Arabidopsis thaliana: one gene and its partners. The protein of the gene in region 2 purifies or fractionates together with the protein of the main gene of each other region. This does not show direct contact. Each region holds a gene or a part of one and is shown on either strand. Other genes may lie near its edges. The genes, in order: AT5G26360, RPN10, RPN1B and AT1G75990.

What was found.
Region 1: the proteins of RPN10 (region 2) and AT5G26360 fractionate together in Arabidopsis thaliana (co-fractionation; one large-scale study listed by BioGRID). This does not show direct contact.
Region 3: the proteins of RPN10 (region 2) and RPN1B fractionate together in Arabidopsis thaliana (co-fractionation; one large-scale study listed by BioGRID). This does not show direct contact.
Region 4: the proteins of RPN10 (region 2) and AT1G75990 fractionate together in Arabidopsis thaliana (co-fractionation; one large-scale study listed by BioGRID). This does not show direct contact.

Annotation. Positions count from the first base shown.
Region 1 is NC_003076.8:9,253,983-9,261,618, reverse strand, and holds AT5G26360 (TCP-1/cpn60 chaperonin family protein), read left to right. Parts: upstream 1-2,590; 5' UTR 2,591-2,727; coding exon 2,728-2,752; intron 2,753-2,846; coding exon 2,847-2,908; intron 2,909-2,999; coding exon 3,000-3,072; intron 3,073-3,372; coding exon 3,373-3,440; intron 3,441-3,520; coding exon 3,521-3,590; intron 3,591-3,785; coding exon 3,786-3,854; intron 3,855-3,935; coding exon 3,936-4,007; intron 4,008-4,122; coding exon 4,123-4,196; intron 4,197-4,487; coding exon 4,488-5,150; intron 5,151-5,226; coding exon 5,227-5,352; intron 5,353-5,498; coding exon 5,499-5,603; intron 5,604-5,704; coding exon 5,705-5,779; intron 5,780-5,872; coding exon 5,873-6,058; 3' UTR 6,059-6,566; downstream 6,567-7,636. Other genes in the region: PWD (chloroplastidic phosphoglucan, water dikinase (ATGWD3)), read right to left, coding at 1-39. UniProt on the Arabidopsis thaliana protein: Molecular chaperone; assists the folding of proteins upon ATP hydrolysis. Known to play a role, in vitro, in the folding of actin and tubulin.
Region 2 is NC_003075.7:18,055,698-18,062,215, reverse strand, and holds RPN10 (regulatory particle non-ATPase 10), read left to right. Parts: upstream 1-2,617; 5' UTR 2,618-2,756; coding exon 2,757-2,768; intron 2,769-2,849; coding exon 2,850-2,963; intron 2,964-3,057; coding exon 3,058-3,163; intron 3,164-3,290; coding exon 3,291-3,405; intron 3,406-3,484; coding exon 3,485-3,697; intron 3,698-3,908; coding exon 3,909-4,188; intron 4,189-4,272; coding exon 4,273-4,369; intron 4,370-4,452; coding exon 4,453-4,553; intron 4,554-4,651; coding exon 4,652-4,720; intron 4,721-4,805; coding exon 4,806-4,859; 3' UTR 4,860-5,228; downstream 5,229-6,518. Other genes in the region: AT4G38640 (Plasma-membrane choline transporter family protein), read left to right, coding at 125-1,188, 1,636-1,981, 2,072-2,332. UniProt on the Arabidopsis thaliana protein: Plays a role in maintaining the structural integrity of the 19S regulatory particle (RP), subcomplex of the 26S proteasome.
Region 3 is NC_003075.7:14,066,196-14,075,373, forward strand, and holds RPN1B (26S proteasome regulatory subunit S2 1B), read right to left. Parts: upstream 6,388-9,178; 5' UTR 6,163-6,387; coding exon 6,046-6,162; intron 5,713-6,045; coding exon 5,612-5,712; intron 5,447-5,611; coding exon 5,326-5,446; intron 5,234-5,325; coding exon 5,174-5,233; intron 4,989-5,173; coding exon 4,878-4,988; intron 4,721-4,877; coding exon 4,655-4,720; intron 4,516-4,654; coding exon 4,394-4,515; intron 4,251-4,393; coding exon 4,136-4,250; intron 4,016-4,135; coding exon 3,941-4,015; intron 3,848-3,940; coding exon 3,689-3,847; intron 3,591-3,688; coding exon 3,483-3,590; intron 3,406-3,482; coding exon 3,304-3,405; intron 3,213-3,303; coding exon 3,072-3,212; intron 2,990-3,071; coding exon 2,885-2,989; intron 2,802-2,884; coding exon 2,580-2,801; intron 2,485-2,579; coding exon 2,371-2,484; intron 2,283-2,370; coding exon 2,067-2,282; intron 1,970-2,066; coding exon 1,910-1,969; intron 1,814-1,909; coding exon 1,700-1,813; intron 1,606-1,699; and 9 more. Other genes in the region: AT4G28460 (uncharacterized protein), read left to right, coding at 1-106; AT4G28480 (DNAJ heat shock family protein), read left to right, coding at 7,115-7,279, 7,757-8,202, 8,461-8,896; DMP7 (transmembrane protein, putative (DUF679 domain membrane protein 7)), read right to left, coding at 9,126-9,178. UniProt on the Arabidopsis thaliana protein: Acts as a regulatory subunit of the 26 proteasome which is involved in the ATP-dependent degradation of ubiquitinated proteins.
Region 4 is NC_003070.9:28,523,091-28,529,533, forward strand, and holds AT1G75990 (PAM domain (PCI/PINT associated module) protein), read right to left. Parts: upstream 3,759-6,443; 5' UTR 3,629-3,758; coding exon 3,550-3,628; intron 3,455-3,549; coding exon 3,264-3,454; intron 3,152-3,263; coding exon 3,014-3,151; intron 2,927-3,013; coding exon 2,790-2,926; intron 2,700-2,789; coding exon 2,534-2,699; intron 2,367-2,533; coding exon 2,127-2,366; intron 2,046-2,126; coding exon 1,533-2,045; 3' UTR 1,314-1,532; downstream 1-1,313. Other genes in the region: AT1G75980 (Single hybrid motif superfamily protein), read right to left, coding at 243-315, 412-482, 629-755, 836-884, 972-1,212; AT1G76010 (Alba DNA/RNA-binding protein), read right to left, coding at 5,415-5,524, 5,618-6,055, 6,165-6,236, 6,322-6,386. UniProt on the Arabidopsis thaliana protein: Acts as a regulatory subunit of the 26 proteasome which is involved in the ATP-dependent degradation of ubiquitinated proteins.

The DNA of each region.
Region 1 (7,636 bases), on a different chromosome or scaffold from region 2:
GAAAGGAGAGCTGCAACAATGGCTGCCAATGCTCTCCATTGGAGGTGGTGTGATAAGAGATTTTTTTGTTTGTGTTCAGTCTTCAAAGTATCAAAGCCAGTAACAATCAATTATAGAGAGTTTCGCTTTTTCCTATGGGGAAATTGCCAAAATCACATGTCCATAAAATATCTTCTAAATATGATTTTTATTGATTATTTAATATTTTTGAAAGAATAAATAAAAATATTTAACTCTTCTTCAATCTTAAACCATTCTTTTCGTAAAAAATACGTAAAGATAGATCAATCATAAATGTCCTAGGAATAAGATACGTATTAGGTAATGTTTTTCTTTTGAAATTAAAATAAAAGTATTTATATATATATTTTTGATGCACTTTTTGATCAAAAATCTCTCTAATATTTACTAATAACATATGAGTTTTTATAAATTCTATCTCAACCAAAATGTTATATTCTTAAAAATTTACAAATCGTTAATTTGCATTAAATACTTGAATTAACTATTTTCTTTATTTCTTTTTTAGTCCCTACAAAATTTATCTAAAAATATTTTATTTTAAATTTAAATCTTTAATTAATTTTTATATTTATTAAATTACATTCAATTAATTGCTAATTTCCTAAAATCTATATATCTACATTAATAATAAATATATGATTTTTCTTTCATTTTTATTTGTTCTTATATCTAATTTATTTTTATTTGATATATATAATACATATAGTTAAAAATATATTAGTTTTTTCTGCATATGAGGTAATTCAAAATTTTAAAAACACACATATACTACTCAATCGATGAAGAAAAAAAATAAGTAGAAAAAATCCCACATTACTTTAAAAAATTGAGTAATAGTTCAGAGTCATACATGGCTTTCAAAGCAAAAACTATAGCCTACATAACAAGGTTCAACACAACCTGATTACAAAGAATTCTATAAAACAAAGATGGGCCTATTTCTTTGATCACACTGTGTCTTAGTAAAAACTAAGAGTCTCAAAGTCTGTAATCTGAAAAATCAAAGGAAGAAAAATTCAGGGAAACGAAACAAACACAAATGAGAAATCAAATAAATTAGCGAACCAAATTACAAAAACCTAAAACAGGAGGGAAAGCACTTACTCTTGTTATAAGAAGTAGACTTGACAAAAATAATCTTAAAAGGAAAAGATGATAACACTGAAGAGTTTGGAACAACTTTCTGACGGGAGATGGATTAGGTCGAGGGAGATTATACTATTAACAGAGGAAAAAAACCAAAAAAAACTCCATTTATTTTTAATTTGTTCATACCTGCGTTATTTAATTTGGCCGTTTAATACCTAAGTTAATTTTTATGTTCATTAAAAACCTTCATTTTTTTAAATTTTGGCAAAATCAGACATGCGAGTTAACGGGCGTTAACAATGGTAACGGAATCGCTAACCGCAGTTAAAACTTAACCATATAATGTTTACTATTTATATACAATTTGTTTTCTAATAGTTATGATCATATTATCTTAGTCCCAGTGGTTTTGAGAGAGATTATCATCCTCATCAGTTCGAGATCGATTCTCATCTCCAACAAATTTTTTGATTTTTTTTTTTAACAAAAGGCAAAATCTCAGTAATCCGAGTTACGATTTTGAATTTGATTCTGAGACTTTCTTTTGTTTAGCACCACGTTTGTTAGATCTGCTTCAATTCGATTTTGAGAACGAGCTAAATTAGATTCCTTCATCTCTTCAATTCATATTAAGGTTTTCAATTTCTAGATCGATTGATATGAATAAGTCAGCAAAGATTGCATATTCCCAGTTTTTGCTGATATTTTGCGTTGAAAAATCCAGACTTTGTTTTTCATTGTTAGTAACGTTGATAGCTTATAGAAAGATTATGTTACCATTAATTGCATCTGTTGATAACAAATAAGATCGATTATCACAAATCTATGTTGTATTAATTGGTCTAACATTTGGGACTTTTGGTTGGTGATTGATTTTGGTGCAATATCCTTTGGAGAAAGAAGTGAAGCAACACACAAGTGCAAAGCCTGTTGAAGTGAAAGAGATGGCTGACTTCGATTTTGCCTTTTTGTTAAAAAAAAAAGAAAAAAAATCAAAAAAAATTTTGGAGATGATAATCGATTTTGAATCGATGATGATGGTAATCTCTCTCATAACCACTCGACTAAAATAATATGTTCATAATTATTAGAAAACAAATTGTATATAAATAGTAAACATTATATGGTTAAGTTTTAACTACAGTTAGCGATTTCGTTACCACTGTTAACGCCCGTTAACTCGGATGTCTGATTTTGCTAAAATTAAAAAAAAAAAAAAGGTTTTCAATAAACATAAAAATTAACTTAAATATTAAACAGGTAAATTAAATAACGCATGTATTAAACGGACAAATTAAAAATAAATGAAGTATTTTTTGTATTTTTTCCCTCTTAACAAATTAGGTTAACAATTCTCCCGTTCTCACGCATCTTTACCTAATCTTCCGGATATAAAAATACTATTACTTTGTTTTGATCTTACAAAAAGGCCCAATGTGTGAAATATTAGTTAATGGGCCTTAGGGATGGGCTTCTCAACCTAAAATGAAAAGCACGAGAGAGGATGAAAGAAATCGGAGAAGGCAGTAGGATCTTCCACTTGCCGCTCTTTGAAAATCACTCGCCGTGTCTCTCTAAGCTTCTTCTTCACTGTGAAAACCTCAGATCGCAAATATGCACGCACCGGTACTCGTTCTGAGTGAGTATCTCCATCTTCCTCCAGATCTCATTTCCTCTAAATCGATATTAGTTTTTTGGTAACGAGATTAACTCCTTTTGTGAAAATGGTTTAGGCGATTCGTTGAAGCGTGAATCTGGAAGTAAGGTTCATCATGGTAATATCCAAGCTTCCAAGGTAAATTAATCCTTTTCTATGGCTCTTTTTCTCTGTGATGCTTGTTGCTTCTCTCCTCTGGTTTCAGATCATCGTTGTTTTTGTGGTACAGGCTGTTGCTGATATCATTCGTACAACATTGGGTCCTCGTTCTATGTTGAAGATGCTTCTTGATGCTGGTGGAGGTCTTTTTCTAAACACTTCCTCTTTTTTTTAGGCTTTTCATATCTCTGTATGTGGGTAGTAGATCTCTGTAGTGAGGGAATTAGGTTTAGTGTTTTTAGCTTTGGAAATGTTTTTCTTATGTACTCGTTCTTTGTTGAAGCTATTGTTCTTCAGTTTCGGTGTTAGTTTTATATAAACCCTAAATCAATATTTGGGTTCTGTTTGTCTTGTTTTTTTTTTTTTTCTGTCTACCTTTAATTTTTCTTAATCTGTGTGTTATCATCATATCTTACCCCTCTTTGTTTCTTGGATCTTTACAGGGATTGTTGTTACTAATGATGGGAATGCTATTCTTCGTGAGCTAGATGTCGCTCATCCTGCAGCTAAGGTTTTACTTCTGACCTTTCTCTATCTATTGTTCTTGTTAAAATTGTTTTACTTATCCATTTTTGACTCTGGTGATTGCAGTCAATGATTGAGTTGAGCCGTACGCAAGATGAAGAAGTTGGTGATGGGACAACGTCTGTTATTGTTCTAGGTACGAACATTCTTTTTTGCTAACAAATAGTTTGTCAATGGCTTGGTTTGGACCAGTTTTAATGTATTTTTAACTAAAGCACAAACAAATTACTTAAGGATATTATGGGTGCTGCAGTATTCAGTTCAACATCATGATCTCTGTTTATAATCATGGGTTCTTGAAGTCCTCTTTTTGTTTGCTTTTTGCCAACAGCTGGTGAAATGCTTCACGTTGCAGAAGCGTTTCTTGAGAAGAATTACCATCCCACAGTCATATGCCGAGGTATGCTGGCACTATGAATTGCTTATTGTTGTCATGTTACACATGTCGTTTTCATCTTAACGAATGCATTCTTCTCTGCAGCTTACATCAAGGCTCTCGAAGATTCTATTGCTGTTCTTGACAAAATTGCTATGTCAATTGATATCAATGACCGTAAGTCCATTTCTACCTTGTATTTGTTCATTTGGAGTTGACCTTCAGCTACTTTGGTTTCTGAAGTTAGTTTTTCTTTCACGTTTGTACTGATGGAAGAATGTGTGAGTTGCAGGTTCACAAGTGCTAGGATTAGTCAAGAGCTGCATAGGGACAAAGTTCACTAGCCAATTTGGAGATCTTATTGCGGTAAGTACCGTAATTACAGTAGCTTCTTACTTATGCATTACCAGTCCAGGTTTTATTGCTCCTTAATATATATTGGATATGTCTAGACAAGTAGGTATAGATACAGCATACATCTTGAAGTGACTTTTTAAATGTAAGATGAGTAACCATGAAATAACTTGAATTTGATGACTGCTTTCTTCAATTCTTTTGGTGGTTTTCGATTGTTGAAATACTTGTAGTATGAAGTTCTACAAGTTTGATTGTCGTTGGTACTCACATGATTTTATATGACTTTATGTACTGTTTTAGGATTTGGCTATTGATGCCACTACTACTGTTGGTGTTGATCTTGGACAAGGTTTGAGGGAGGTAGACATTAAAAAGTACATCAAGGTTGAGAAAGTTCCTGGTGGTCAGTTCGAGGACTCTGAGGTTCTTAAAGGAGTTATGTTTAACAAAGATGTTGTTGCTCCTGGTAAAATGAAAAGAAAGATTGTCAACCCACGGATTATTCTTCTTGACTGTCCTCTTGAGTACAAGAAAGGTGAAAATCAAACCAATGCTGAGTTGGTTAGAGAAGAGGACTGGGAAGTGTTGTTGAAGTTGGAAGAGGAATATATCGAGAACATTTGCGTTCAAATACTAAAGTTCAAGCCTGATTTGGTTATCACAGAGAAGGGTCTTAGTGACTTGGCCTGTCACTATTTCAGTAAAGCTGGGGTAAGTGCAATCCGAAGGTTGAGAAAAACTGACAACAACAGAATCGCCAAGGCTTGTGGAGCAGTAATTGTGAACAGGCCCGACGAACTGCAGGAGTCTGATATCGGTACTGGGGCTGGCTTGTTTGAGGTCAAGAAAATTGGAGATGATTTCTTTTCTTTCATTGTTGATTGCAAAGAACCCAAAGCCTGTACTGTACTCTTAAGGGGACCAAGTAAAGATTTCATCAATGAAGTGGAAAGAAATTTACAGGTTCGTTGGTGTTATTTACAAATCTGTATTTCTTAATCATTCATAACCTTATATGCCTGAAACATTGTCCCTACAGGATGCCATGTCTGTTGCAAGAAACATTATCAAAAACCCAAAGCTAGTTCCTGGTGGAGGAGCCACAGAGCTAACCGTTTCTGCCACATTAAAACAGAAGAGTGCAACAATTGAAGGCATAGAAAAGGTCGGTTTTGCTTTTATTACATTTTGTTTCCTTGCCTAAAGTTGTGTGATTTTGTGTCAAATCTATATCGAGCCTCTAAAACGAGTATGCTGTTCCCACGGTCGCTGATAAATGTTCTTTTGTTGGTCTGAATCTTATTTAAACAGTGGCCTTATGAAGCAGCTGCCATTGCTTTCGAGGCTATTCCACGTACCCTGGCTCAAAACTGTGGGGTTAACGTGATCCGTACTATGACTGCATTGCAAGGGAAGGTACTGTCCTGTACTAATGAACCCCAACTGCCATCTCTTGCCCGTTGTTTAAGTATATACCAACTCTTTTCTCAATGCTTCAATTGTCGGTTTTGGTGCAGCATGCAAATGGTGAAAACGCATGGACTGGTATTGACGGGAACACTGGTGCAATAGCTGATATGAAAGAGAGCAAGGTAAGGATTAAATCACATAACCTTGGTTGATTCTCACAACATGAAACCAATGTGACTCAGAGAGTTGACTAAAAGCTTTTAACAATTTTCCAGATATGGGATTCGTACAATGTGAAGGCGCAAACTTTCAAGACGGCTATAGAAGCAGCGTGTATGCTTCTAAGGATCGATGATATAGTGAGTGGAATCAAGAAGAAGCAAGCTCCTGGATCTGGACCTTCAAAGCCTACCATTGAGACAGAAGGAGATGCAGACAACGAACAAATTCTTCCCGACTAAGCGAAGGGAGAAACACTTTGGTCTCAGCATAACTCAATCTCTGTTTTCACTTGTTTAATGGTTGCACTCTTTTGGCTATTATCTTCCCTTGACATATCTTTTAATTCTGCAGTTTGACTTGGTGAGATAAGATTTTCGAGGGTGGTTTTTTTTTGTTTGTTTTGGAATATTAGCTTTTTTGAATTTTCGTAGTCACTTTGTTGGTTTTTAGAGTGCTAGTTGTTATTGTCTTTTTGAAATTTCTGGCACTAGAGACTTTTTTAGTTTGTGTCGTTTTTGTTTGAATATCATCAAGTATGTACTTCAACTGGATCTTTAGTTGACCGGTTAGTGTCAAATTGTGTTTTTGTTTGAACACCATTAATTGCATTTCAGACGTACGGATCTGTTATTTAGAGTTTTGGGTTATTATTCAGGTTGACTCGGTCCGAATTTATTTATACGGGTTGGTTTTGTTACTGAAAACCTTTAAACTTCGCTAGTTAAATGAAAATTGAAAGTTTAGTTATGTTGATCTTGATCTAATTTTACAGTAAACTAGAGGAAATACGGGCTACGCCCAAATTTATTTTAAAATTTTATTTCTGTTTTTTGTATTGTTTTTAGTTCATATATTTTTTTTTAAATTTGCTATATCTAAATAGAAAATTAGTTTGAATTACTTATATTTTTATATACTATCTATTTGTGTTATTTAAAATGAAACTGAATCACCTTTTATTTTTATTTTATTTTATTAAAGATGATTGTAATATAAATAGTTTTTCTTAACTCAAAATAAATGGGTTTGTTTTCACAAGACTTTTTTATTTTTTCATTTCTTTGAGGTTTTGTTTTGAATAATTATTGGATTTTCTTTTGTTGGGTTTAGTTCATTAGTTGGAATTATGTATAGTAAACGTATTAAACTCAATGGGTGGATAATTTGTAAAATTTATTTGTAAAAGCTAATTTTGTATTATTAGATTGGTAGCATATTGTTCAATTCTGCATATATACTAATCATTTATTAAATAAAAAAAGTTAATAGTTCTTATTATGTATAAAGATTCGTTAATATTTTCAAAATTAGTTATTTGTAATTAACGTAAATTTGATTTTTTGATTTTTTAATTAAAATAATGAATTACATTACCTTCTTTTTTGTCAACTAATAATTTATATTACCTAAATTTTATAAAAACTGTCATTGAAAAATTGGACTTTGTGATCTCAGAAATAAATTATAAAAATATTAAGTTTCTTTTATTTAGTTTTGTTAGTTTAAACCATTTTAATTGAAATCCAAGAAAAAAATAATATTTTATTTTAAGCATTTAATTTGCTTTTGTTTTTGAAGTAAAAAAATCAACACTTATTTTTTCTAGTAATATTTATTAAAACATTATTTATTTTTTGTTTTCTAAATTTTTTTTTAATAATTTGGTGACATTGCATTTAGAGAGAGTATTTAAAAGAAAATATGATGTGGCATCTCTAAAATGATTTTTGGAATGATGATGAGGATGACTTGAGAAGCCTCAAATTGTTTCTTTTATTAGCAGTAGATAATACTATTTTAATCATATACTATCGTTT
Region 2 (6,518 bases):
CACTAATTAATTATTGTGATTAAGAAAAAATGCTAAATTGAGTTTCGTCGTCTTCTGCTTCTGCTTAAGCTTCTTCATCATTTAGCTCCAGAGGCGGAGCTTTCTTCTCTCTCTGTGGACGACCATGGCGGCGGACGACGGCGACCCCACTAAATTCGCTGCAATCTACGACTCATCCTCTCCGTCACACCCTCTTCTCTCTAAACCCTCCACGTCCGCTCTCGATTCTCCGCGTCGAAGTGATCCCGAATCCGACCCAACTCAGTTTCTTCAGATCTCCTACAATTTTGGCCCAAGAACTTTCAAGGACATCCCTTTCCTACTTCTCTTCGATCTTCTCGTACTCTCCACCTTTGGTTTTGGAATCTTCTCCATTTTTCATAGAAATAACGATTACGGGAACTCCTCTTCCTTCACCTACGATTTCACCTCTAGCTCCTGCGTCAAAAATTCTACCTTTACGAAAATTTCGGATGGGTACTACTGGGCTTCTTCGAGTGTCATGTACGGCATGGTTTCTTCGTCTGATCCAGTCTTTGAGAAGGATTTGATCTGGACACTTGTTGTAACGCTTATTTTAAGCGTGCCCTTCTGTTTTAGCGTCCTGCTTTTGCTCAAACACTACACTAAGCAGATTGTTTATGCTTGTTTACCTCTCTTTGTCCTTTTTCCCATCTTTTTCAATGTCTATTGGTTTGTCGCCTGTACTCTTAGCTCTTCTTGTAGCGATGCCCTCCCTCTAGCTTACAGAATACTTGTCCTAGTCTTTGTTTTCTTGATCATCGGGATCATTGTCTGGATCATAGTAGCTAATTGGCACAGAATTGATCTTACTATCCAAATCATCAGTGTTGCATCTGATGCCTTGTCCAAAAATTTGAAACTTTTTGTTGTGCTGCCGCTGCTGACTCTCGGGTTAGTGGTGTACTATGCGCCGATTGTGGTGTTCTTGGTGTTTGCAAGGTTTAATGGGAAGTTTGTGCCGCGAGAGTTGGATGGTCAGTACTTTTGTGAGTGGAAAGAAGATTCTTGGGTTCCTGCGTATTACGCTCTTGCCATTTTAACGATGATCTGGTCTCTTGCTGTAATGGTGGAAATGCAAGTGTATGTGATAAGTGGAGCTATTGCTCAGTGGTATTTCTCCAAGGAAGACTCAATCCCTAAAAAATGCATCCGGAGTTCTTTGAGGTGACTCGCTGCCACATCTTTCTCTATTTTATTCTTGTTATCAATGAATTTGCTGTGCAGTTTCTCTTACAATCAATGGTGCTCTTAGTTCTAATATATGTTTTGTGTGATCGCGGGAGTTTTTGCTTTGAGTTCTCTTAGTTTTGTTTCCTCATAAAATATAATCTATGGTCATTCGAAGTATCCCTTGCTTGGCTTCGTTCTGGAGTATTCAGTGATTCTAGGTCATGGTATTCATAGTCTTGGCCTTATAGATTGGATATTGTATTGGAATCCATCATCTGAACTTGTTTGGTACTTTAAATGTGAAAAGAGACAACAGACAGTGGTATTTTTGAAAGGAGATTATAGCTTTGAGGATCCAAATTTGCATTAGTCTTCAAATCTGTTGTTGGTTTATGTCAAAGCATGTGTGAATCTTATTATTTTTTGTATCTGTCTCTTCAGGAATGCATTTGGTCAATCCTTTGGTACGATATGTGTATCAGGACTTCTCATATGCATTGTTCGTGTGGTCCGGGCAATTGTGGACAATGCAAGAGAAGAGAACACACAAGGAATAGTGAACATGGTTCTCCGTTGCTGTGCAAACGCCTTACTTGGTGCCCTTGACTATCTCAACAAGTTCACCATCAACTTTGCTGCAATAACAGGGGAAGCGTATTGCACCTCTGCGAAAATGACTTACGAGCTGTTAAGACGCAACCTACTGTCAGCTGTATTTGTCGAAACGGTTTCCACCAGAATCCTAACCGGAATAGTCTTTGTCCTGTCAGCCGCATATGCAGTCGCGGTAAGTATTATCTTCTGCTTGTCTCACCAACCAAGCATTTAATAATTGCCATAATGACTAATTCCGGGGTTTGATGATGCGCAAAAGCAGACATGGGCTGTTCTGAGAGGAGTGAGCAACCTGGGTATAGATTCGTACGTGGTGGCTGTACTGGCGTGGGTGTTACTGATTGTGATATTGGCTTTCTTTGTACATGTTCTTGACGATGTGATTGACACAATCTATGTCTGTTACGCGATTGATAGAGACAAAGGGGATGTATGTAAGCAGGAAGTTCACGAGGTTTATGTTCACTTGCCTATCAGCAGAAGCACAAGATCTTCTCTCATCCCAAATGCTCTTAATGCATAGCAGAAGATGATCCAACGTCTCTGCTTGTTGTATCTTTTTTTGTTTGTTAGCACCGTTGTAAATTCCTCTCTGGTGAACTGTGGTTTGTCTTCTTGGGGTTTATATTGATGTTTTGTAGAGTTATGGGGTAACAATGTTGAATAAAAGAAAGACTTTAGTTATAGGAATTACTGTAATGTGGTCTGTGTTTCTTTTATTCATTAATAAATCAACTTTGTTTTGCTTTTTATCAAAAACAACCATTGGGGCTAAATTGAAATAAACGTAAAACATTAGGGTCTAAAAGGAGAAAGTAAAAAAGTAAAGGGGATATTTAAAGAAGAACAATGTTATTATTATCGGTCTAAACTAAAATCTAAATCTTGCCTTCCTGACTTTCTCTCTACGACAGAATTTTTGAAGCTTCTCTCTGCTTATCGACACGATGGTTCTCGAGGTGATTTTCCAATTACTTGTGCTTATCTTCGTTGATGATCCACGTTGAATGCTTTTTCTCATCGATGATTTCTTGTTGTAGGCGACTATGATATGTATCGACAACTCCGAGTGGATGCGAAACGGAGATTACTCTCCGTCTAGGTTACAGGCGCAAACGGAAGCTGTTAATCTTCTTTGCGGAGCCAAAACCCAGGTAATAATTTACGTTTTTTCACTTGATTCGATTAGGGTTTTTGGGTTTGCGTGAGATTGTGATTTTTAGGGATCTTTCTTTTTTGCAATTGCAGTCGAATCCGGAGAATACGGTGGGGATTTTGACAATGGCTGGCAAAGGAGTTAGAGTATTGACTACTCCTACCTCTGATCTTGGCAAAATTCTGGCCTGTATGCACGGTATGTATCTCTCTCTCCAATCTTTCTATTTATTATTAGCTGTCTACTTAGAGCAATTAGAAAAAATCTGTTCTTTCTCTTTATCATTGAGTTTGACATCAATTTGCTACTTGCGTCATCTTTTCAGGCCTTGATGTGGGAGGAGAGATCAACTTAACCGCAGCTATCCAGATCGCCCAGCTAGCTCTTAAGCATCGCCAAAACAAGAATCAACGCCAAAGGATTATTGTTTTTGCTGGAAGGTACCGAATTGCTTTGTTTTTGCTGAGTAACTTTTGTATAGTTTTATACTGATGTTTTTCTTCTGCTTCTACTTTTTAGTCCAATCAAGTACGAGAAGAAGGCCCTAGAGATAGTTGGAAAAAGGCTGAAGAAGAATAGTGTCTCTCTTGATATTGTCAATTTCGGGGAGGATGATGATGAGGAAAAGCCTCAGAAACTCGAGGCGCTCCTTACAGCTGTGAATAACAATGACGGTAGCCACATTGTTCATGTTCCTTCTGGAGCCAATGCTCTCTCAGATGTGCTTCTCAGGTACCATCCCTTTTCTTCTTTTTTTCTAGGTTATGTAGATTGTAAAAGGAACAGTTTCAACAATATCCGGCTTGGTAGGTGCACTTCATGTGGTTTTGTGTGTTTAGGTCTTTTGAGCTCTCTAGTCTTGCTTTTTATCAATGCTGCAACAAAACATTTAGACAGTGATTTGAATCATAGATAGTGTTTTAACTTTTAAATTTTCTTCCAGCACACCTGTATTCACGGGTGATGAGGGTGCAAGTGGCTATGTTTCTGCGGCAGCTGCTGCAGCGGCCGCAGGTGGGGACTTCGACTTTGGTGTGGACCCAAATATCGATCCAGAACTTGCTCTTGCCCTTCGGGTCTCCATGGAGGAGGAGAGAGCAAGACAAGAAGCTGCTGCCAAGAAGGCGGCCGATGAGGCAGGTCAGAAAGACAAAGATGGGGACACAGCTTCCGCCTCACAGGAGACAGTTGCTAGGACAACTGACAAGAACGCTGAACCAATGGTTAGTTGTTACTTAAAATTGAGTGTAGCATTCTTATATAGTCACAGGCGGAGAGATTGTTAATCATACAACCTTTTGTGGCAGGATGAGGACAGTGCGTTGCTAGATCAGGCAATTGCTATGTCTGTTGGTGATGTGAATATGTCAGAAGCGGCTGATGAGGACCAGGATCTGGCTTTAGGTAAGTAGAACAGTGTGGTAAAAGTATATCCATGGCAATCAAAATTGGCATTTTTCTTATATTTTTTTATACTCCATGTGCAGCTCTGCAAATGTCAATGAGTGGGGAAGAGTCAAGTGAAGCTACAGGTGCTGGAAACAACCTCTTGGGAAATCAAGCCTTCATATCGTCTGTTCTCTCATCGGTAAGCCTACATAAACCTTAGTCAGTTTTTTTCACAAGCAAAATGAAAGAGAAAAGTAGTAGGGTTAGCTTTGGTACTAAGACTTTGTGTACACGCAGCTTCCTGGGGTGGATCCAAATGATCCGGCAGTTAAAGAACTACTAGCGTCTCTGCCAGACGAGTCAAAGGTGTGTCTTTGTTGATGTTTATGATTACATCTTTTTGTTATTTGAAAAAGAAGATTCTGATAAATGTATATGGTTAAAATGACAGCGTACCGAGGAGGAAGAGAGTAGTAGCAAAAAAGGCGAGGATGAGAAGAAGTGAAGAAGGATCTGAGAGTCTCAATAAAAATTCCTCTTGTTTCTTTGGTTTGATAGAGATTGGAACTGAATTTAACTAATCTCTCTGCCTTGTGAAATTTGTTTTTTTCTCTCTCTCTCGCCTTTTTATAATGTTGTTATTGTACGAGTCAAGGACTAGCTTCCTTCTTAATTTTTATTGGACTTTATGTCAATGGGCTCTTAGAAAGTAAGCCTATTTGTTACAGGTCTCTCGATCAATTCAGTAGAATAGCGAGTCCTAAATTCGTAATGAACCTTGCACAAGTGTCAAATCTGAAATATTCTTACGACAGTGCAAAAAGTCTACATTGGTAATTAAATTTTGCTCACATTTCTGCGAAGTTATGTTTTTCTCCAAGTAATTAAAGTCCCACGTGGCAGTTAGGTACTTAATTCCTTTGTTCTACTGTTGGCTCGTTTTTTTGTTCTTTGCAATCTAATTTTTATATGCGCTTATTAGTCTGCTAATTGCAATCTATTTGCATTATTTAATTTATATTTATCCCAAGATATGTGTATTTGTCTGCTAATTGCCACATGCGAGCTGTAGTTTTGATCATCTACGTACGTGTAAACTATGCTACACAAACAAATTGAATTGCTAAATATGACTATCGTTAAAGACTTTTTATTGGGGAAACTTATTAGTGACGAAATTTCTTTGTTCCCTTTTAGAGCAAGAAAGGGAAAGACAAAAAGAGTCACAAGACTCACAAACTATAACATAAAAAAAAAGAAAGAAGAAAAACTGATAGAAGCTTCTATTGCATCTACCTAACACCTTTTGAAAAAGTCGTTTCTTTACAAATGAAAATGAATAATATTAGAAAGAAGAAGGAAGAGGAGGCAGGTGCGTCTGTCTTTGTTCACTTGTGTCTGTGTGTGTGGTCATCCTTTTGTCCTTTTCCCCTTTTTCCTTATCTTCAGTTCTCACCACTCCTCCTCTCCCATCTCTTTCATTTCCAAAATATCATCCTCCTCTATCAACTTCTACATGTTTTTTTTTGTTATTCCTTCACTTTCATAATATTTACCCAACCACTGTTAAATCTCGATGTTCGAAATTAATCAAACGTTCTCAACTTTATTTTAGACTTCAACTGATTTTGTTTTTTTTTCCAACTTTAAATTTGTTTCATTAGTTGATGCAACCTGAGAAAACTCTTATTGATTCCATTATTGTTGAGTTTGTATCTTCATCAGAATATGATATATATCAAGCCCCAGTGCTAGTGACAACAACTTGTCATTTGGTGATCATATAATTTCTCAAGTGATTATACCAGTTTTTGAGATCTTACCAATTTTTGGCCAAAACAAAAAAACAAACACACAACTGGAGTATATAACCATTTGATCAATTTTAAAACTAAATCTAAATATATACGAGGAAATAATATACTGCTCTATTGGGATTTGAGATGATAATTAATGTAGTAGCTAGAGAGGGTTTTTGTAGTGTTGAGGAGAGGATATCAACGAAGGAACATGTACAACACCGATTTTACCAAGCATCTTACGATAGAACAATGTTTAAGTTTACGAGTCGCTACTCTTTCTAAATTCAACCATGTGGCTACATTCAATGAAACTCCTATACATAATTTTTATATGCATGCATGCATAAATATATTATGTGGTA
Region 3 (9,178 bases), 4.0 Mb from region 2:
GGGAGATGGAAGTGCGACTATGACGGTGGAGAAGATGAAATCGACGGTGGATTCTTGGTTTCAGCGTTTGGCGTCGGGTCCAAGTCCAAGAGGTCGCGGCCATTAAATTTTCCTTTTTTACTTTTTTTTTCCTGGCCGGAGGAGATTAATTAATCTCGATATACCCCATATGTATACCAGAACAAACGGTGAAAACTGTATTCCATTCATTTATTTCATTATTTGTTTTTTTTTTCTTTAGGCAAAGTTCATATAGTTAGTGACAGAAACTAAAACCCTCAATATACATGTACATGATTTTTGCTTTTGCTGGTTGCTAATTTTAATAAGATTTTATACTTCTGGTTTATGTTTGGGAACGAACTTATTCAAAAAAAAAAAAAAAAGATACACCGAGGAAACAAGTGAGTCGTGCACGCCATCTATGTAAAATTGTAAATATGTAGCCGGGCTAGCTGGGTCACCCTTTCAACATTTTAATAATATTACATAGTTTTGGCCAAATCCGGAAACAACGAGAGGAGCCTTTGCATGTCACAAATTGAAGTTGGAGTGCGTACAAACCAAGAACTTGAAGTTCCAGGGCAGCAAACCAAAGAGCCCATAATCAATAAGCCAAGTTTATAGAAACGTCGAACGAGTTGATTTGAAGGAGTTGCAGGTTAAGAGAATTGGATTTGGAAACTTATCCAGCTTTTAGAATGCGATATTAAAGTAGTGCACAAGAAGTTCCTATATATTGCAATGAAGCTATTTTTTCTTTTAAAAGGAGAGATTGTGAACCATTTCCTGGGAACAGACGGGAATAAACTAAAAAACTTTTGACAACCGTAGTGAAAGTATTCAAAGGCTCTCTCTCTTTCTTCAAATGCTTGCAACTTTGGATTTACTCCTCTCTGTAGTCTGGATTTTCCTTCAATATGACGAAACCTTCTAATATGGGCGACAACGGAATGTACCTGTGACCCAAAAAGAAGCAGAGTTTTTTTAGATTCCAATATGTAAAACAGAGTTTTATTTCGAGTAGGATAATGTAACAAGGGGATTAGAGGAACAACATACTTCTCGGTTGCGAGTTCAGCTCTCTCCCCAGCAGCAAGGAGAACAGGTGTTGAGTGCGTTTGGAACCCAGTGATTGTCTTAGGTCGGCCTGCCTGTCCAACCACATCAACCGCTTGTCCTACCCGCACTGGCACCGAGATGGGCTTCAGGCTCTGATCCACCGTCAGCATCATCCTTGGCTACACACTCAAACCGTATTGTGTTAGTAGATAAACTTAGTTCATTAAAAAAAAAGTCATCAGACAGAAAATTGCACTCACCTGCATCGCCAAAACAAGGAAGTAGAGCACATAGTGATATTTCCCCAGTATAATGGATTTCATGTCAAGGCATGCATGCAACAATGTCACTATACCAGCAAGTGCGGTTCTAGGTACAAAATACAACACCCAAGTTTAGGATTCACAAGGTGGAGCTTTGAAAGCAAAGTATACATAAAATATATGTTATAACTTACGGCGATAGCAAGAGCCGTTCGGAGTGGAAAGGATTGAGAGTTAAGAGACCCTTTCCCATATGCACAAACCCTTGAGCGATGCGCACCTGCATTGTGACTTAAGACAATGAGAACAAGCCTATCATAAGTAGAAACCGTGTTTATTCCATGAAAACTTAAAAAGAAATCATAAAACGTTACACAGAAAAGAAGGCTGGCATCCTTGTAATAATAGCTGGAGAGATTTCTAAGCATGCCAGCTATCCTTGCATTGTTGGTTCCAGCGCCTATCAATCCAAGGGAGATAATTGCTGCCTGTAGGAATCAGATGAAACATCAGTCCAACGCTGCATAGCAAGTCAAAGAAATAACTACTCTACCTCAACCATGAGTGGCGAAAAGATAACTCACCATTGCAACTTCTGAATCTGTGTCATGGCTTAGTCTGCTCAAAGTGTCCATAACAGTCACCTGGAATTATAAAAAAGTTAGAGAGTAACAACAGTATTCTTAAGCAGAAAAGTAACTGCACGCCGCCGAAAACTAGATATGCAAAAATAATACTCACCTTTGGGTTTGATATACATAGGAGACCAAGAGCCAAAGGCACTGCACGTCGAATGTTCTGCTCTCCATACTGTAGTACGCGCTCCAAAGAACGGATCTCCATATCCAGACCCAATTCCTCAGACATAGCAACCATAGCTAATCCAATCACAGCTGGACCCTGGTGGATATCACCTTTCACCAGATGCTCTCCACACTGAGCCAGAAGGTCTTGGACCTGAATAGTTTGAATAGTTTGAAGAGTCAGACTAAACTAGAAAGAAGTGAATAATCTAATTCAACCACTAGCACACTTGATCAGATACCTTAAGGACATTCCCGGTTCCAGCATATGCACATGAAAGAAGTGTCATATCACAATACTTTCTGATTTTCTCATTGAACGTCTTTGAAACTTCTGCAGTAGCCTCCACACTTTCCTGCTCGATATTGGAACAAGTTAAAACTAATAATCGGGGAAATAACGATCAAGTACACGAACAAGAAAAATAATCAAGTATGACTGGCTGCCCACCTGTTTGCCAAGGTACAAAAGACCAAGTCCAAGAGGCAAGAAACGAGTGAGGGCTTCACCCAGCTCTGCCTCGCTCCGATCCATCAAAGCAAATATAATAGATTGTGCAACCTCTTCGTTACACGAACCAACATAAATCATCCCCAAACTAAGTGCAGCAAATGCAATCACATCGAGAGGTGCGTTGGCATCATTTAGTATTGGAGACAACCTGATTTTTATCTATCCAAACAGTGAGCATGTTATTGTCTCGTCAACAGAACATTCAACTTAGCACCATAGGTAAGAAGATAACATGTATTCACCTGATCATTTTGGGAACCCGCATATGCAATCCCGAGACCCATAATAGCACCAATTCGGACAGATGAATCCTCATTGTCAATATAACCTGAAAGAAGGGCAAATGCCTGAGAAAGAGAGCTGAGTGAGAATGAATGGCGAAAAATTGTGACACAGAGGTTCCCATATTAAAAAAAAAAAAAAACTCACAGGGTCACAATCATTCTTAATGCCACAATTAACAATCCCAACTCCCAGCAGAGCTCCAGCAACGACGGGATTATCGTTACTATGGAAATATTTGTCGAGATGACCTAGTCCGGTCTCCACATCCCACAATTGAATCATACCCTAGAATTGTTGTTAAAACAAGTTCGTGTTACAATTTTACTTCCAAAATAAAAACATAGCTAATCAATTTATCAAGTAAGATGAGGTATACCAGACTAGCAACTGCACTGGTCTTTCCATGTTCTTTATTTTTGAAGAGCCAGTTTCCAGCCGATCCACTGGTTGAGTCAGATGGTACTGTCATTAATTTGTCCTGCAATAAGGAAATATATGAAAAGGGCAGCTTCCAAAGTTCTTCTTATGTTGCACATTAAGATCCTGTAATCATACCTGGCCGAATCCAGCATTTACAAATGCATTCACAAAAGTCGCAGATAGATTTTGCCTAGCTGAGTCCACACTTGGACCAGAGCTAGCCCTACCATCAAGCAAGTGAGCCTGCAAATTTCAGTGGACAGGTAAGAGGCACTTCCATAAACATATCCTGTAACCAAATAAACCAGTAACAGACATAATATTCAATTAAACTGATATACCTTGTAGATGTCTTCAGGCGTCTTGGCCTCCATGACCTCAATATCCCTAGCAAGCGTCAGATATCCTTCACTCAACTTAGAGTTGTTAACAATATCCTGTAGCGCTTCTTTGTCTTCGTCATTTGCAACCATCTCTTGGTCAAGCTCAAAGGTCATACCCTGCATGGAGAAATAACAAGAGAAAAATAAATATAAGAAAATAAAAAATCAGGTACTGCACCTTTATGCTAATTTAAATTATTAAGAACTTACATGACGTGCAATCATGTAGCAGAACTGTTTCTTTTTTACCAGATCGGTACATGAGGTAAATACTTGCTTCACATACTGCACAAAGGAAAAATATATATCATAAGAAAAATACATAAGTTAAAGAAGAGCTTTTCCCAGCTGCTCCCATGTTGCAGAAAGAGGATATTAAGTTTTATATGAAGATTAGAACCATACCTGCATGTTATCAAGAAATAATGCAATTTGCAGCGCGTTTGGATATTCTGCAAACTTAATGTAGATCATGTAAGCAATATCTAGAACCAACATGTCATCTGGTCCTGGAAGATACCTGGAAAAAAACATACAATATCAACGGGACTGATAATGTGCAAGATAACCAAGCAAAGCTCATGAGAGCTTGTCTCATATGAAAATAACATAATTAAGGGTGAAACGCCAGTCGAATGAATAAGCTAAACATATTGAAATTACTTTGCTGCACTCGTGAGATAGTTGCACGTCCTCCTGAAATTTGTATTGTCAACATGCTCAAGTAAGAGATCAAGATCCTCAACATCCATTAAAAGGTCAACAGCTTCGGTTTCGGCATTATGCTGCAAAGAACAAAAGGGAATCCTTCAAAAATGTGAACAAAACAAGAGGCGCAAATTTCACGCCTATCAATGAAACTTATATTAATATACAATGGACCCCTTGTTATTACAAGAAAAGTAAGAATGACAAGGATCTCACCTTCATGTGAAAAGAAACAATTTGCTGCACAAGATCCATTAAGTCTTCAATAGAGGACTCTTCACCCTGATATAACAAAAAGAATGAGCATTATAACCATATTCAGTAACGAGCCCATTGTCATAATATTCATTAACAAACCATAATATCCATGACGTTGCCAGAATATGAGTGAAACTCCTCGAGCTAAAGAACATTGCCAAAGACCAAATTGTTTACTAACCTGACGTATTGTATACTCTTTTGCAATCTCTCCAGCCAAATTCCTGACATACTCGTGACCCCACGATCCGATGTCACTCTCTGATCCATTCAACCTATAGTTTAAGCTTTCCTGAAAGAGTATTGCATAACAAAGGATCAGCAACAAATAGCTTAAGTCAAATTCTACCAAGAACCACAAAACACAAATCTGGTAAGGCATATCATAAGAGGAAAACAAAAGGGAATCTAGTTAAATGAATGTGAAGCAAATAGCAATAGGCAAGAAACTCCTACAACAGTAGCAAGAAAGCATACCCTTTCACCTTCAGCAGACATGGTCAGTGCCAGGACAGAAAGTATATCAGCCAACATTTTCTGCAAAAACGAGTGCGATCTTATAATCCAGACTCAGTAGAACGACTAAGACGGTGTTGATGAGAAATGACTTAAAATGTTTGAAATCGTACTTTGAGATCAGACTCTGCCATTTTTGCATGAAATTCTTTAAGAACTCCATAATGAGGGCGGAGAAACTTGAGGGGTTTTGGAACTGATGTCATGGAGCTTGTTGAGTCACGAATTTCCTTCCTACATACCAAAAGAGATCGATCAAGATTAGACTATGAAAACAGTGAAAGCACTAAAAGCAGCAAAAGAAGTGTCATAAGCCCATTAAAGAAACTCCAATAGAAAATTATCAGAATATTTGCATCTAATCAAATCAAGGATGGGTTTAAGAGATACAAAAACTACCTCATGCTTTCAAGAGCAATCTTCTGTAACTCAGGATTGGGGTCCTGAACTCTCTCAACATAGAGCTCCAGATTCTGCTTTAGTTGCAAGTCCTCTTCAGACTACAATAACATCATATGCAAATTGAGTCAGCTGCCAATCAAACCAGCTAAAACCATAGCCATAGTACAAAAGATTCCTATTAATTTAACTCCATGTGACTTAAACCCTAACAAGAATTGTATCTTCCCAGAACGAGTTATAATGTGGATTTAACCAACTTCTTAACCTCGCTTTCTAAATAGCAATGCGACATTCACAATATATCAGCTAAACCGTACATCTCGGAAAATCTACAGCTTAATCGTGAGTTTTTTCCGATCTCCCTGGATTCTTTCTAACTCAGCTAAGCACGATTCCAACTAATAATCGAAATCGATATAAAGAAAACTCACCAGATCCTCTTCCTTTTTATCATCTTTCTTCTTGGAATCCTTAGAAGGAATCTTCGTCGTAGCTTCGTCCCGCTTCGCACCACCGCCAACACTGTTCGGATCCGGAACTGGAGCCATTGTAAGTCAGACTATCACCTGATCAAATCAACGAATCCAAACAATGAGTATCGAAATTCGTAAAACTCGGAAGAATCGAGCAGCTTCTATCTTATGAGCTCTCGCGTAAACCCTAAGTCTCTCTGGAATGGCTCGTTAGAGAAGAACTATGCTTTTCTTCAGGAACTGTAGCAAAAAGGTTCAACTGTAAAAAATAAATACTATCAGATAAAAAAAAGTACTTATACGGAAGAAGATTACCCCTCGATCAAGAATTCCATTGTGGGCTCAGCCCATAATAAATTGGGCTATTCATTGGGCCATAGTATTCTACTATGGTCTCTATATAAAACACCTTGTCTTTGGCAAACATCTCTATATATAATCAACACTTTAAAATTTATTTTATTTGGGCGATATAGCCAATCACAAAATAAAGGACTCCAAAAACATCTATTTTATCGGATTTACATTTGATCAATTTAAATTCGAAGCAACTAATTCGATCGGATTTAAATTCGAACAACATAATAATAGCAACATTTATATAAATACGTTACATGTCTTAGTCGACATGTTCTTTTATGGTAAAGTTAGCAATATTAGTCGAACTCAAACATATACCTTCACATAATGAAAGAGGAAATAACATTTAATTGTTTTTATAATTAATAATATAAATGGGAGAATCTGAATTACTTGAGCGATAATAAAAGAAGAAAAGGAAAAGAAATGGAGAAGGGAAGAGGCAAGATGGCAAAGCTGTGATTTAAAACACCGTCACCTCCCCGTCAACGGAGACAAACAAAGATCGTGTTTTCTCGAACCTTCCACGAGATATACTAAGCCAAAGAAGAAGAAGAGACCTGAGACGAACAAGAAATCCAGAAATTACCAATTCCTTTTTTTTGTTTAATCGAATTCAGGAAAAGTGAAGAAACGAAAGAGAGAAGACAAAGAAGAAGAAGGTGAGATGGGAGTTGATTATTACAAGGTTTTACAGGTTGATAGAAGCGCTAACGACGATGACCTTAAGAAAGCTTATAGAAAACTCGCTATGAAATGGCATCCTGATAAGAACCCTAACAACAAAAAAGACGCTGAGGCTAAGTTCAAGCAGATCTCTGAGGCCTACGATGTATGTGTTTGATTCCTCCACTGCTTTTGCTTTATTGAAATCGTCCCTAAAGTTTTGATTTTTATTTCTATTGAGAAATTTTCATTCCCTTGATACTGTCGGTGGTCACGAACTTGTTTCTGATTTTTGATATGAGATGCAATTAGTCTGATTTCACGATTTGATGTTGTGTTGGTTCGTGGGGTTTTTAGATTTCGTGTCCCTGAGTAATTCGAATCATAGTATATAGTAAAAGATGATTGCTTTATATTTGGGCAAGCTAGGTTATCTCCAAAGCTCTTAATTTGTGCTTTCTTTGCTGATCTTCTGAGTCATGATTTATCCGTTTTCTTAACTCTGTGATTGATTATTGAGAACCTCTTAGGCACTCTGTACTTGTCAATGTGTAGCTTAGGATTATGAGGAACATACTAAGATTGTTTGATTTGACTCAGGCTTTTATGAGGCTAATGTTGGTTTTTGTTGTGAGATGATTAGGTTCTTAGCGATCCTCAAAAGAGAGCTGTATATGATCAATACGGTGAGGAAGGGTTAAAAGGGAATGTGCCACCTCCCAATGCTGCTACTAGTGGAGCATCCTACTTCTCAACAGGAGATGGATCTTCGTCTTTCAGATTCAACCCGAGAAGTGCAGATGATATATTCGCTGAGTTTTTCGGGTTCTCGACCCCGTTTGGTGGCGGTGGTGGTGGCACTGGAGGGCAGAGATTCGCTAGCCGCATGTTTGGTGATGATATGTATGCCTCGTTTGGTGAAGGAGCAGGTGGAGGAGGAGCTATGCATCATCATCACCATCATCATCATCACGCTGCAGCTAGGAAAGTGGCTCCTATCGAGAACAAGTTGCCTTGTAGCCTTGAAGATCTCTACAAAGGAACCACCAAGAAGATGAAGATCTCCAGGGAGATTGTAGATGTCAGCGGGTAAGTGATTGAACTCAGATACCATTTCGATCACACTTATAACATTTTGTTATTAGGCTTATCTACTAGTCAACCTAGAGCATGGTTTTAGAAATATACAACCTCCCAAGTCCCAAGTATGATGAACATATATGAAACAAAGTTTCAAGCTTTTAGATTCTGCAACATTCCCCAGCTTCCATATGGTTAATTGTTGATTTGAGCTGACCCTAGTTGTTGTCTTAACAATATCTAATATCTGTCTTCTGGTAAATGCAGTAAGGCAATGCAAGTGGAAGAGATTCTAACGATTGGAGTGAAACCCGGGTGGAAGAAAGGCACAAAGATCACATTCCCAGAGAAAGGCAATGAGCATCCAGGTGTGATTCCAGCGGATCTAGTCTTCATCATTGACGAGAAACCCCATCCAGTGTTTACCCGTGAGGGCAACGACCTGATTGTCACACAGAAAGTCTCACTAGCTGATGCCTTAACAGGCTACACCGCAAACATAGCGACCCTTGATGGCCGTACACTTACAATCCCGATCACAAATGTGATCCATCCAGAGTATGAAGAGGTGGTTCCTAAAGAGGGAATGCCACTCCAGAAAGATCAGACAAAGAAAGGGAACTTAAGGATCAAGTTCAATATCAAGTTTCCAGCGAGATTAACTGCGGAACAGAAAGCTGGGTTTAAGAAGCTTATTGGGTGATGATTAAAGCATCTCTGTCTTGTGATGTGTGGAGATTGGGATAAATTTGGTAATATACAATTTATAGGGAATTATCTCCCTCTTCATTAAATTTCGTGTTGTTAAACAAGTCTTCTTTTTAAAGAATAGTTTTTTCAAGATTTGGTACATGTCCTCCATAAACAAAAATTGAAGATCACAAATCTTTTTGTTATACAAAAGTTTTTCAGTTCTTGTCTAGAGTATGAAATTATTCTTTGGTAAGGGGAGATCCGATGCCATGACGGCGTGTAGGGAACGCTA
Region 4 (6,443 bases), on a different chromosome or scaffold from region 2:
AAATACAGAACATCATCATTAGCTTTATCCTACTCATGTATAAAAGCAAGGAAACGATGATCAAGTTATTTAAGTTATCCAACTGATTCCATAAGCAAAGTTCTTGACATTAAGAGTATAACATAAGAGCTCAAATTGTTATTGAAGGTACAGCAACAATAGAGACTCATAGCAAAAAATGAGATTTTCATTGGTTTTTGAGGATTTGTTAGAGAAGCCAATTTTCCTCTCTTATTACTTACCGTTGAATTAAGAAGCTCTGGTTGCTTAATCAATCTCTCGTTGACCTCCAAGAGAGAGCCTTTAACGCAGCACCTAGCAAAAACCAATTCAGAACAAAGACAACTTCATTTTTTTGCAAATAAGAACTTAGGACAAAGGAAAGTGAAAACAGAAAAAAGCTTTGCACACCTAACAATGTAAGTATCTTTTGCAGTGGAAACTTTGCACAATGCTGTATTCGATTCAGAGCGCAACGCATTCTACACAAGAAGAGCAAGTAAAAAACAGTAGCTAAAGCCAGAATCTAGACTCAATCAAAGACAATAAACACACAATTTCGAACTGCAAAACTTCAAGCTATAACAATTACTAAAAGTCTAAGACTCAAGAATCAAGAGAAAGCCACCTTTTTACGCTTGCCGGAGACTTTCAAGACGCTACGATCAGACTTACCAACATTGAAATCGACACTAGTGATTCCACCTTCATCCTTAAAAGCTATATGCGTAGGAGCCAATCCAATTACACACAAACTATCAAACAAACAAACACACAAGTAAGAAGAAAACCAATTTCATCATTTCAACAGCAAAAGGAACAATCTTTGACATACCCATTAGCGTGACGGTAAATATATTGATCATGACCCGATTTAGTAAAATCTGCAAAAACATTGAAAAGGGTTTAATTCACTTCACACTATCAAAAGGGGTTTTGAAAAACACTAAACAGTAGGTGAATCTGAGAACCTGTGATGAAGTAAGAAACAAAATTGACTTGTGTAGCTGAAGGAGGAGAAATCGGAAGTTCTCCAATATCTGAAAGCAGAAGCTTTCTCAATTCGTCTTCCTCTTCATCTTCTTGTGTAGCTAGCTGCTGCTTCTGTTGGTCGTCGCAATCTTCTACTTCGTCGTTTCTCTTTGGGTTAGTTAATTCGATTGTATCCTCAATTTCTGGAAACTTCGCTACATCAAGCTTCAGAATCTCCATTGTTTCGACTGTTTAACCTTTGACGGCGAAAAAACAATCGGAGTTACTTCGCCGATTTGTAATTACATAACTAATGGGCCTAAAGGCCCATCTACTGATCTTGGGTTTGAATCATGTTCATGTTCTTCTATATTACTAACTTCACTTCTTCAGTGAATTTATTTACCAGAATTTTGATCCCAATGTGGACTTGTGATAAAGTTTGAGATTTTGTTTTTTCATAAAGTAAAAGAACTGATGTGCATAATAACAAGAAAAAGTCAGATAATTCAAAATAACAAAAGTGTTAACAGACAAAAACAGTAGAATTTGAAACAAATCTAGAAATCATCATCGTCTTCCTCAGCCATGTATTTAGCGAGCTCCTCTTCTTGCTGTTTCATCTCCCTTCTTTTCTCCTCGCTCTCTTTCTCCCTGTGCGTGTTTGGCGGGAACCTCAGTGCTCTAACCGCTTCATTGTGCATATTCAAACAGAAGGCAATCCTCGAGTTAAACGCAGTCTGTGGTTCATTAGTGGAGTAGATGTCTCCTGTTTCCTTGGAGACCATACAACCGTTCTTGTGGTCGATGGTTGCGTCGATTGCTCCATCTCTAATGGCTTTAGCGACGATGCTTTCTGCATCAGCCACTGGGTTCGCTGAGTTCAGTCTCAGCTTTTGAGCAACATCCTGTAGAGAGATTCTGGAGTAGGAAATGCTGATGTTGCGCAGTCCTGTTCTGATCACGTTGTGTCGGAGTCTGACTATGAGGTTGTGAGTCCTGTCTTCCGCAAATGTTTTGGCAAACTTCTCTTGGATTTTCCCGAACAGCTCCAAGTCACCAATTCTCACAGCCTTACAAAATTTAAACAAGAGTATTAGCAAGAAAACCTTAATTAAAGCATATGTTAGAAATGTAAAAAAGATTGAACTCACGTTGGTCAGCTCAAAATATGGCCTAAGAGTCTTCTCCATTCCTTTCTGAGTGAAGATAGATCGTTCAGGTATTTCACCCAACAACAGCCGAACTATGATAGCCCACTTGTTGCACTGGATTCTGAATCCCAGAGATGCAACAGGTGCTTTCCTAGCAGCTTGGAGGAGACTCTCTTTTGCATCGGTGTACTCAAGTTGAATCGTCCTGATCTTGCCAAGGTAAAACAAGTACCTACAAAACTGTAAATTTATATAACGAGATGAGTATCGTTTCTAGTTGAAACATGTGAATGTAGTTTGGAGAAATTCACAGTGAAAAGTTGGCATTAGTAAGCATCAGAGAGGTTGGCATAAGTAAGCATCACAATTAACTTAGAATTAGAAACTAGAATGTATGAAAGGGTTACCTGTTGGTTAGAGTGTGCCTCAAATCGAGGCGCTTTTGATCTCAACTTCTCTGCTTGGTCGTACAGGTTGTAGTGTAGATAATTGCGAAGCAACAGATTCAAAAGTGTTTCCTGGCCCAATTCGTCGTGGCGCAGTGTGGCCGAATGGTGAAGAGCAAGAAGAGTACTGCAACAGAAAGAGAGACAAGTTAATAAGATAATTGAGTGTTGAACTAATATGATAAAAGTTGAAAGATGACTGTGAACTTGTACTCACCTACGTATCTCTGCAAGATCATTAGTTAGCTCGTAACTTAAGGAGTAGTAAAAATACAATTTGGAAGCAATGACATCAACGGTTCTCCTGTTTACGCTTTTGAGGCGAGCAATGCTAGCGGTAGAACAAACTTTGGCCTGAAAGCAAAGAAAGTAAAACAATGAAGACCACAGCAAGATTTATAAATAAAGTATGTCAGTTAGAGAGATAGAGAAGAAGTAAACCTCGTTGTACTTTTTCTGATCAATGAGAAAAAGAAGAACAATGAAGTAGCAGTAAATCTCGAGCTCTGCAGGTAGATGCTTAGGAGGAGCTTGGGAATTCGATGATGCTGTATCAACTTCCATGTCATGTTCATCACTCTGTACCAATATTATAAATTCCATCAAATTAAGGGCAAACACTAATACATGAATCTAATTACAGATCCTAGATAAGCTCGTAATCAAAGTGGACAAGTGAAGCTACACATACCTTCGGCACAAAAGAAGAGAGACGAGTGTGAGCTTCAGATCCAGGAACCAAAGCGAAATCAAGGAAAGAAGAGATCACGGAACCCGTGAGCTTCCTTCGTAGTCCAACGGTGAGACGCACAGCACGAGCAATACGACGGACTTCCTTTGTATAAGATCCAGTATCAATCAGAGCTGCAATCTCCTTCAAATCTGGAGAAAAAAAAAAGCAGTACAACGAATTCAATTTTGAAACAAACCTAGCAATGTGAGATTAAGAGAAACTGAAGCATAAGATAGAGATTTACTCTGTAGCGTGGAGGTAGGAGCAGAGACGACGGATTGCGTTGGGGTTTGGTTATCTTTCATCTCTACGTCCTGAGTCATCTTTTTCGCAAATCTCAAGTCGTCTTCTTCTTGACGAAGGTAAATTAAAAATTGATTTGAAAAGAGCAGGGCTTAACGCACACATAAGTACTCTTATGTTTTCCTTTTTCTTTTCCTAGACAGAAATTACCAAATTATATTTGGGAAAAATGTTGTTTTATACGCGAACTTTCAAAAAGTAGCTATTCTATACGTGAACTCTGACGTCGGCCAAAATAAACATGAAAAATACGTTGACCAGCCATTTTAACAGAAACAAAATGTTGACCTCGCCAAAATCCCGAGACGTTAACTCGCTGATTAACCCCGTTAAGAGAACGTTAATGAATTCTGTTAAGACCAAAACGCCGTCGTTTCAAACCTAACGAAACAAATCAAAATGCCCAAATCGAAAACTCAATCCCTAATTCTCTCAAACCAAATCCCTAATTCTCTCATTGGTAAAATCGTGTTTGTTCTTCGATTAATCTTGTTGTGATTGCCTTAGCAATAGAAGGCGAAGTCGACATTGCTCCTGTTCCACCACGACGAGTAGCTGAAACCGGAGATGGAGTTTGATGGTGGAGTTCTAGCTTTGCCGGCTGTTGTTGTAGCAGAGTCTTCTGTCGGAGTTGAAGCTCAAAGAAGATAGATTGAGAGAAGTTGGATATAAGAAATCGATTTGGGGAAGATGAAGACTTAGGGTTTGAGTTTTCGATTTGGGGATTTTGTTTTGTTTCGTTTAGAACAAAACGACACCGTTTCGGCTTTAACAGAGTTTATTAACGTGCTGTTAACGGGGTTAATTGGGTCTGTTAATGCGAGTTAACGTCTCGGGATTTTGGCCAGGTCAACGTTTTGTTTCTGTTAAAATGGCTGGTCAACGTATTTTTCATATTTATTTTGGCCGACGTCAGAGTTCACGTATAAAATGGCCACTTTTTGAAAGTTCGTATATAAAACAACATTTTTCCCAATTATATTTTTCCATTTTATTTTTTTCTTTCCCTTGAAGGCAGATATTATCTTGTTTGTTAATACTATTAATGTCATTAATTAGAACATCAAAGTCGTTGTAGTATAGTGGTAAGTATTCCCGCCTGTCACGCGGGTGACCCGGGTTCGATCCCCGGCAACGGCGCTAACATTTTTTTATCGAGTAAATCTATTGTTAATACGGTGTCGACGAGTCTATGAGCTTCCTTTCCTTTGTTGTGTCTGTCTCATTAGAATTTTGAAGATCAACCCAAATTCGAGAATCGATGGTTTCTGGCTTTCTACTTCCATTTTTTTTCTCTCTCTGTGTAAATCTGCTTCCATTTGTGAGTTATTTTCGTTATAATGTTATATAAGAATTCAACTTTGCAAGGGTACTTGTTGGAAATAAAAGAATCAACTGTTCCATCACATTAAAACTGATAACCAAAGAAAAGAGGTAATTTGTCCAAACTGTGTCTCACTCTCACCTAAACAAAACTACAAAACAGAGGAAAAAAGAAAAGAAAAGAGGATGCCTCAGTAGTTCTTCTCTAACAAAAACCCAAGACGACGACCAACCATAAAATAAATTGAACATATATTCCTAAGCGACTCTAAACAAAACAGACCACAAGCTAAAACACTGTCAATCAATGGATAGTAAAAAAAAAAGAAGGGGAATGAGATACACTTATGGCAAACATGTCTTCTTGATGGACAGAAGAAGCAAACATAGAAAGAAAGTGAGAGAACAAGGAGATAGAAAAAAAACATCCAACGACTTGGGCTTTTTTCTTCTTTTTATGTTTGTGTAAGAGAAACCTCACTCTCAAGCAGCTGCCTGGACTGGTGGTCCATCTGATCTGTTGTTGAAACCACCATCACCACCACGTCCTCCTCCTCTTCCACGTCCTCCCCTTCCACGTCCACGTCCACGCCCTGCATCAAACCAATTCAAAACTCATGGCTTCTTCACACAATTACAGTTCAAGAACCAGGTAAAAGAATACAGAATGTTTTAATTTATTTTACCACGACCCTGAGGACCATCATAACCACCACGGCCCTGAGAAGGACCATCATAACCACCACGGCCCTGAGAAGGACCATCATAACCACCACGGCCTTGAGAAGGACCATCATAACCACCACGGCCCTGAGGAGGACCATCATAACCACGGCGACCCTGAGGACCATCGTAACCACCGCGACCCTGAGGACCATCGTAACCACCACGGCCCTGAGGAGGGGCATCATAACCACCACGGTCATCATATCCACGGTGTTCATGAGGAGCATCGTAACCGTAACCTCCATCTTGTGGTGCATCATACTCATTCGGAGGACCATTGTATCCTCCTCTTCCACGACCACGACTGCTGCGTCCTCTGCCACGTCCTCTTCCTCTACCATAGGACTGCTCACGTTCCCAACCTCCATCTTCATGCTCAACGTTCACATAAGCATTTCCTGACAGCAAAAAAAAAAAGACTTTATTCATGAATCATATGTTCAAAATCAATATTCAACGTTCACTAAGCCAGATGATCTATGTAGGGCATTTTTAAGGTAATCTAACCTCTGCCACCTCGCCCCCTTCCTCTTCCCCTTCCTCTTCCTCTTCCCCTCCCTCTGCCACCAGGTGAACCCTCTGCAAGAAAAGTGAAAAAGGACACTAATAAAGAAAGCAAGTACAAGGGAGATTCAGAATAACACAGAGAGTGTTGTTGACAAACCTCGTCCTTCATAATCAATATCGCCCATTGGCTTCACCAACTCAATAGGAATTGGGCACTGGTACCTGAAAGATCATTTGATTAGAATTATTAGAATAAGAAGTCTAAGGACCACAATTGCT